Oryctolagus cuniculus: one gene and its partner. The protein of the gene in region 2 interacts with the protein of the main gene of each other region in a pairwise test. Links are inferred from orthologs where the notes say so. Each region holds a gene or a part of one and is shown on either strand. Other genes may lie near its edges. The genes, in order: APOC1 and APOA1.

The links.
Region 1: the proteins of APOA1 (region 2) and APOC1 interact in a two-hybrid assay, tested with the Homo sapiens proteins (2 studies listed by BioGRID, with this or other methods). The link is inferred for Oryctolagus cuniculus from reciprocal best matches to the Homo sapiens genes APOA1 and APOC1.

The regions. Positions count from the first base shown.
Region 1 is NC_091449.1:11,758,744-11,763,244, forward strand, and holds APOC1 (apolipoprotein C-I precursor), read right to left. Parts: upstream 2,925-4,501; 5' UTR 2,896-2,924; intron 2,764-2,895; 5' UTR 2,744-2,763; coding exon 2,686-2,743; intron 2,206-2,685; coding exon 2,061-2,205; intron 506-2,060; coding exon 445-505; 3' UTR 331-444; downstream 1-330. UniProt on the Homo sapiens protein: Inhibitor of lipoprotein binding to the low density lipoprotein (LDL) receptor, LDL receptor-related protein, and very low density lipoprotein (VLDL) receptor.
Region 2 is NC_091432.1:108,782,214-108,785,864, forward strand, and holds APOA1 (apolipoprotein A-I), read right to left. Parts: upstream 2,173-3,651; 5' UTR 2,041-2,172; coding exon 1,998-2,040; intron 1,849-1,997; coding exon 1,695-1,848; intron 1,223-1,694; coding exon 619-1,222; 3' UTR 549-618; downstream 1-548. UniProt on the Homo sapiens protein: Participates in the reverse transport of cholesterol from tissues to the liver for excretion by promoting cholesterol efflux from tissues and by acting as a cofactor for the lecithin cholesterol acyltransferase (LCAT).

The DNA of each region.
Region 1 (4,501 bases), on a different chromosome or scaffold from region 2:
TCCCATGCTACCTTCTCCTGCATTTCTCCTCACTGTCCATCTAGAGTTTCATGAACACCTACTATGTGTAGTGGTGCACCAGGCCCAGTTCCGCACCTGGAGCAGCGCACAGCAGGCGAGTGCTGCCCGGGGAGCTGGGCCGAGTTCTCCACTCCCCGGCCCCTCTGGGCCTCAGTGCACTTGTGGGATGAACAGGGTCCCGCACACAAGGTTCACCCATCTGCAGCCCAGAGCAGGGGGACTGGGCTCAAGGCAGCAAGGACCCCCTCGGGCGCAGCCCCCACCATCCGCCACGGCCCCCGCCCCCCAGGAACCACCACCGCAGCGACATCTCTGTGGGACTTTTATTGGTGGGGGAGGGGGGGAGGGAGGTGCATGGAGAGGCCCTCGGTGCAGGTGCAGGCACGGGGAGGGGGGGCGGTGACGGCGGCTCTCGGCGGGCGCTCAGGAGAAGGTAGACTTGAATTTCTCCTTCACTTTGCTGATGGTCTCTGAGAACCAGTTCCTGCAGGGGGGGGAGTGCGGAGGGGGCGTCACTCCTCGGGACGTCCAAGCCCTGTCCCCCACCCGACTCCCCGACCTTCCCCTGTGGAGTCCGGAGGCCCCACTGAGCCCCAGCTTGCCGGCCAGCCCAGAGCAGCTCAAAGCCAGAGCTCTTCACCCGGCCCCCAGCCCTTCCTCCACGGCTACCCTTGCCCTGTTTGTCCCCTACTCATTCAAGGCCACTTTGCGGCTCCCTCCTCTGTCCCTGCGGTCCCTGGGTCTGTAGTGCACCCCTCTCTTTATCTACAAATCTTCCCGTCTCAGGACTTTGCACTGCCCGCTGGGCGGCGCCTTCTCCTAGCCAAAGGCCTGAATGCTTCTCCCTCATCTTTCAGGGCTCAGGTTCAAGAGCCACGTCCTCAGAGGAGACTGCACCAAGGGGCCGGCGCTGTGGTGCAGCAGGTAAAGCCACCACCTGGTGCTGGCATCCCATGTGGGCACTGGTTCAAGTCCCGGCTGCATCACTTCTTCTTCTCCTTCTTTTTAAAATATTTATTTACTTATTTGAAAGGCAGAGTTACAGAGAGGCAGAGAGAGAGAGAGAGGTAGGTCTTCTATCCGCTGGTTCACTCCCCAGATGGCCGCAACAGCTGGAGCTGCGCTGATCTGAAGCCAGGAGCCAGGAGCTTCCTCCAGGTCTCCCACGTGGGTGCAGGGGCCCAAGGACTTGGGCCATCTTCTACTGCTTTCCCAGGCCACAGCAGAGAGCTGGATCAGAGGTGGTGCCCACGTGGGATGCTGGCACTGCAGGCGCCAACCTTACCCACTATACCACAGCGCTGGCCCCTGCTCCACTTCTGATCCAGCTCCCTGCTGATGTGCCTGGGAAAGCAGTGGAGGATGGCCGTAGTACTTGAGCCCCTGCACCCAGGTGGGAGACCCGGATGAAGTTCCTGGCTCCTATCAGCCTGGCCCAGTCCTGACCACAGTGGTCATCTGAGGAGTGAACCAGCAGATGGAAGATCTCCTTCTCTCTGTAACTCCTTCAAGTGCATAAATCAATCTTTAAGAAGAGTCAGCCCTCTGAGGGCGGGATTTTTATCTTGTTCATCATTGCGGGGGTGGGGGGGCTGGCGCTTAGCGGATGCTCAATAAACACTGCCAGTGAGGGGACGATTCTCCAACTTCTCCACTGGAGCCGATGCGGGTTAAGTAAAGTGTTGAATATCGCCAGGCGCCAGGCAGGCCTCCCTCACTCCCCTGAGCCACCCATTTCACAGGACGGGATGCTGAGGCTCATGTGACACCCCCGTCTCAAGACCACACAGCCGGGAGAAGGCCTAGGCTGGGGACATCTGAGCGCGGGTCCTCGGCCACCACCTCGCTCCGTCTCTACGCGTGTGTGGGGGTGGGGTCAGGGCAGCTGTCCCTGGAGACCTGGAGCCCGCACATCCGGTTCTGGGACCACAGCGTTGCCGTCAGCCTTTCCGGGCTTGAATTTCTCCCATCTCCAGGGCTTCCTCCCCACCCCCTGCCCTGCCCCCCGCCCACCCCAGCCGCAGCCCCCGGGTCCTAACCGGGTCTTGGTGGTGATTTCGCTCTGCTTGATGTGTTCAATGGCCATCCGGGCCTTTTCTTCCAGGGTGTTCCCAAACTCCTTCAGCTTATCCGGGATGAGCTCCAAGGTGCTGAAGTCTGGGGCCGCCTGGGCTGGGGCAGGGCCTACGCAGATGGGCGAGAGGGTGCGGAGTGCAAAACCCCCAGTTACATCCCTGGGACGGGATTCCAAGGACGGATAAGGACATCCTGGAACGGGACTCTTGGGGGCCGCGGGGTCGGAAGGAGGGGTCCTCGGGCTGCTGGGAGCGGTGGTCTTCGTCTGCCCGAATCCCCAGCCCCCCACCGCCGCCCGGCTCAAGGGGGCGAAGCAGGACAGCCAATCAGATGTGGGAGACCCAATACGTCATCAGTCGCTAGGCTCCTCGGGGCAGATCTGCCGTCCGGGCTCCGGCAACCTGGAGACCCACCTAGCTGGGTGGGGGTGGGGTGGGGGTGGGGGTGGGGGTGGGGTGGGGGCGGGGGCGGTCCGAGGACGACCGGGAAACCCGGAGGGCGCAGGGGCCCCAGAGCGCTCTCGGGACCTGCAGGCCCGGACCCCCGGCAGTTGGCCAAGCCTCACGTTTCCAAATCTCAGCCTTTTACCTTCCAGAGCCATCGACAGAGCCAGCACCAGCACGGGGAGCGACAGAACGAGCCTCATGGCGGGGCCGGAGGGGCGCTCTGGAGGGCGGGGGCGGGGGTGGGAGCCATCAGTGCCCTTCCTTCCTTCCCCGCCGCCCCCCGGAGGTCCGGAGCCCTCGGGAGCGGGTGCGGGGCGGGGCGGAGGTCCCTCCCCGGGAACGCTGCACCAACCTGAACCACGGTCGCGGGGCTGCAGGGGCGGGAGGTCTCGGCCCGCCTGGGTCTTTATCAGGCTGGGGCGGGGGCGGGACGGGGCGGGTCAACCTCCCTCCCCCTAGCACCTGTGCCCACCTGCCCTCTCTGGTGGGGGTGGAGGGGCAGCTGGGGCCCTGGCACTCCTAATTAGGGCCAAAGGTCCGTGCTGTTCGTACCTCGCCAAGCCTCCCTGACTTCAGGGGGCCCCAGGCGGCCATAGCCCCTTTCCCCTGGCCCGGAGCCTTCGTCCCCTCCCTGTGGCTGTCACTGGGCAGGGCTGTCCCCCAGGCCCAGGGAATACCGCTGTGGGTCCCTAGGCCTGCTCCCCTCCGCCCTGGCTTCTCAGCAAACAGCGCTGCCCACGTCTCTGGGGTCTCTCTGTGGAGCCGGCACTGCTGCCCCCAGTGCCACCTGCTGCACCTGCGCGCTCTCTGTCAGCCCAGCCCTGGAGCCACCACACGGTCGCCCCTCTGTGATGCTCTCTGGGGGCTTCCCTTTGCACCCCGCCCCCATCTCCCTGTAGTTTTGGGAGGATTTCCAGCTCCTCTGAGCCGCAAAGCCTCAGCTGCAAACTCCCAGCGCGTGCCCCCCCATCCCTTCCTCCAGCCTCCCCCCCTCGCCCCGAACCCTCCCTCCGCTGGTATTCACCCTCTCAGGCCTGCTGGCACCGAGCCTGTCCCTCCATTCCCCCCCTTCCCTTGCCACATCCGTCCCCCAGGGCCCGACTCCAAAGCCTCCCCCTCCCCGTGGGCTGCCTTTGACCGGCAGTGATCCCTGGCAGCTGGGGGGGGGGGTGGCCTGGCCCCAGAGTCTAGGTTGGCTGGCCCTGTGCCCCCACCACCACGTGTCAGCCTTGGGGGCGGCGTGGCGATGGTGGTTGTGAAAGGGACGGCACAGACAAGGCCCTGGCAGGATTGCACCATCCCTGGGGCCAACTCAGAACTTCCAGTCCCTGTCAGGCTGCCCCCGCCTCCCCCCAGCTGAGCCCTGCACTCCCCAGATGTCCACCCAGATGCCTACCCCTCCCCCTGCTTGTCCAGTCTCCTATTGTGGGGAAACTGAGGCACGACCAATCCGTGTGCTTCTCCTTCCCAGACTCTGGGACCCCTGTTGGGGTCAGCCCTGGGGGTCCCACAGAGATGGGCGGTGCCTCCTCCTTGACGCTGGGGACAGTGAGATCTGGGGGGCGTGGCCTCTGCCCGGGCACACAGTGAGCCCACTGACTTTTCCCCTCCCCACTGAGCACCCCCACGTCTGCAGGATCTCAGGGGCGGGGCGGGGGGCCAGAGGGAGGAGCCGGGCCAGGGAAAGCCCTGGAGTTTCGGGTGTACGGGGGCTGCAGAGGCCAGGCCTGGCCCTGGAGACACCTGCTCAAGCCCTGGCCTGTCCCCTGCTCCCTCCTGAGAACTGAGGGGGTGGCGGGGGAGGAGGGTGCCGGCTGCTCCCAGCCTCTGCCCTGGCCTCTCTGAGCGCCGACTCCCAACTGGGCACGGGGCCTGGGAGTCCAGCTGGGAGAGACAAAAGGTGGACAACACAGCTGGGGGCCAGAAGGACTTAGGAGGAGGGGCGAGGCCAGAAAGCT
Region 2 (3,651 bases):
GCCATTTCCCATTGCTTTCCCAGGCACGTTAGCAAGAAGCTGGATCAGAAGTGGAGCAACTGGGACTCCATCTGGAGACCACATTTGGTGCCTGAGTCATAGGCAGTGGCTTAATCCACGGCACCACAATGCTGGCCCCTCAAGCATTTTTATAAATACAAGCAGCTTGTTTGCTCCTGCCCAAATCCTTCAAGTCCCAGTGGCTTCTTAAGGGCCCGCCCCAGCTGGCTTAGAGACAGAGGGCCGGCAAAGGTGCCTGTCCCCTGCCCAGGTGGATGTCTCCACATGCCCAGCTTACATTCAACATCTCTGGGGACAGGGAATCCGATTCTCCCAGCAGAGCCCACCCTGTTCCCGGAGCCTCTTCAGGGAGGGCTGTTAGAGCCTCCTGCGGGGCACTTGGCCTTGGGCTGTCGCTCTGCCTGGCCCTCCCTCACTCCCAAGCAGCCAAGGGCAGGTCCCACAGCTGCCCTGCTCTGGGAGCCAAAGCCCAGGCTGCCCCTCCAGCGCCACCCCACTTCCATTCCCCCCAGAGAGAGAAGCTGCTCCCAAGTTGTAAAATACTTTATTCTAAGACGCCGAATGCTGGAAGGGGGAGCGGGGGCGGCAGTAGGCACCTCACTGGGTGTTCAGCTTCTTGGTGGCCTCGTCCAGGACGTTCTGCACGCTGGCCTTGAAGCTCTCCAGCACGGGCAGCAGGCCCTGGCGGAGGTCCTCCAGCGCAGGCCTGGCCTTCTCACTGAGCACGCTCAGGTGCTCCCTGGCCTTGGCCTGGTACTCGGCCAGGCTGGCGCCGCCGCCCTCCTTGATGGACTCGAGGCGCGCGGCCAGGCGCTGCTGCAGCTCGTTGCTGTAGGGCGCCAGCTTCGTGCGCAGTGTATCCACGTGGGTGCGCGCGCTGTCGCGCAGCTCCTCGGCCAGCGGGCTCAGCTTCTCCTGCAGCTCGGTCAGCTTCTGGCGCGCGCTCTCGCGCAGCTCCACGCCCAGGGGCTCCACTTTCTGGCGGTAGCGCTCCACCTCCTCCTGCCACTTCTTCTGGAATTCGTCCAGGAAGGGCTGCACTTTCTGCCTCACCTCCTGCAGATCCTTGTTCATCTCCTCCCTCAGCCCCTCTGTCTCCTTTTCCAGGTTATCCCAGAACTCCTGGGTCACAGGGCCGAGCTGTTCCTGCAGCTTGCTGACGGTGCTGCTCAGGCTGTCCCAGTTGTCCAGGAGCTTCAGGCTGGAGGCAGACACAAGGCGCTGAGGGGGGACCCTTCCAGGCACCTGGGACTGCCCCCAGGGGCCTCGCACCCCGCCTACCTGGGTGAGCCCACAAGCCCCACCCGTCCCCAGATGTGTAGGGAAGCCTTGCGCCTTGGCCCCTCCACACACTTCCTCACCCAGTACCTCCCTCCCACACCCTGTCCCATTGTACAGAAGGCTGGAGGCACGGCTGGGACCGGTGCCCAGTGTTGGTTGTCCCGAAAGCCTCCCCACACCCCATCCATTATCCTCCCTGAAGACAGCAGGGGACACGGACCCCTTGCAGGCTGCTGGTGGGCAGGCAGCACTGGTCTGCCCTGTGCTAGGATAGGGGGAGCCCGCTCCCATTTCTCCAGCCGGGCCTTCTGTGGGGCCCTGCCGTGAGGACTCAGCTGGTCCTGCAGGCCTCTGCCCCCAGCCGCTGCCCCAGTGCCGGGCTGCATGCTTACTTGAGTTGCTTTCCAAAGGCGGAGGCTTCAAACTGGGCCACATATTCTCTGCCGCTGTCCTTGACTGTGTCCACATACACGGTGGCGAAATCCTTTATTTTATCCCATGAGGACCGGGGTTCATCTCGCTGCCAGAAATGCCGAGCCTGGCTCCCTGGGCGTGAGAAGGCAGCCCCGGGTTAGGCCAGCTCTGAGCCAGAGTGCCAGGGGTTGGGATGTGGGAGGGGGGTCCTAGTGAGAAATTCTACTCCTTGGGTGAGCCCTGGGGTTTTGGGGCTCCCTACACCGGGTGGGGGCACCGACCTGTCAGGAAGAGCACAGCCAAGGTCAGCACCACAGCCTTCATCCTGCAGGAGCCGAGTGACCTGGAGGAGAAGAGGGCCTGGCTGAGAGGGGGAGCCTTCCAGCCCGGGAGAAGGCCTGGGGGGCGGCCCCAGAGCCTGCCAGGGAGCAGGACCTGAGCCTCAGCTGCCTGGAGTAGGCAGCAGCACTTACCTGCCCCGCCTCCTGGAGCTCTCCAGCAGTCTCCTGCGGCCAGCTGGCCCCTGGCCTATTTATGTCTCCAGGCAGGGGCTGGGCTGTGAGGCTGATAAGCCCAGCTGGGCCTAGTCACTGCTCCCTGGTCCTGGCCATGTGGAACTTAGAGTTCAAGGATCAGCTCCGTCCCTAGGGCCGGGCAAATAGAGTGGGCAAACAGGAAGCTGTGGGGGCTGCAGGGCAGGGGTCAAGGGTTCAGATGGGGGCGGGAGGGGAGTGGTTTCAGGCTTGCAGTCCCCAGGGTGGGGGGCATTGGCACCCCTCAGGGGAGTGTCAGTGCCTTCCATTGTGCCTGTGCCACAGGGGAGGGGCTCCCTTCCCCACTGCCCTGTCCCCACCTCCCACCACCACTGTTCCTCCTCTGGTCCCCACTGCTGCTGTCCAGGCCCCGCAGAGACCTCCCAAAGTGCTAACCAATGGGAAAGGTGGCGACTGGGGGACACTGTAGAGGAGTGGCTCCCAGACTGAGATCAGAGACTTCTAACGGGGAGCTGCCAACTTTCAATTTTGTCACACCCAGTAGCTTCTTCTCTCCCAAAAATAGAACTCTCACCATGGAAAGTGACCATCACTTTAAAACAGAAGAGACTTTCTAACATCCAAAGAGGAGTCGCATTATTGCAGGCACTTACACTGAAGACGCGTGCCTTTGTGTTGCTGGTGTTTCCCTGTGCTCACACTCAGGGGAGGGTCCCTGGACTAGGAGGTGGCAGGAGGGCGGTTTCTCATCTCCCTTTGCGTCATCTCAGGGGAGGGGGACCGGGAGCCAGCTAAGTCATAACCCTGGGCCTCAGTTTCCTATCTGCAAAACGGAGCGCCACAGTCAGAGACACTGGAGGCCCCAGAGGCAGCCTGCCAGTGGGAAACGCTGTGCGTACATTGGCACCTGCAGTGCCGCCTTGTAAGGTTTCTTGTGGAAGGCCCAGGCCCTCGCACACCGGGTCATGGACAGCACCCAAGTTACAGAGACTTTGAACTTCCACGCTGAGAAGAACCGAGAGACCAGCCAGCCTCTCCCCACCCTACCGTCTTCCTGACGAGGAACTGAAGAGTGGAAGGGATTTGCTCAACGTGTGTCATCGCTCAGAGATGCAGTCAGGGCTGGACCTGGAACCCAGATCTCTGGATTTAGGACCCAGGGCAGAGATCTGCCCTCCAGGAAACTCCCTAACTCTCTAGAAACCAGCCAGGCTCTCTGCTCTGCCAGACCTGGGAGTGGCTGGCTCCAGGCCTTTCCCATTCTAGCCAGTCTCATGCCACAAGAAGGCTTTCGATCTCAAAAACCTTAGGGTTCGACTGAGCCCTAGCACTTCCGAGCTGTGTGTGGCTCTGGGCAAGTCACTTAGCTCCCTTCTAGCCGGGGGTACTGTGTGGGAGCCCCTTCCCTGAAGACCCACGTATCCTCAGCTCTGCCCCCGAT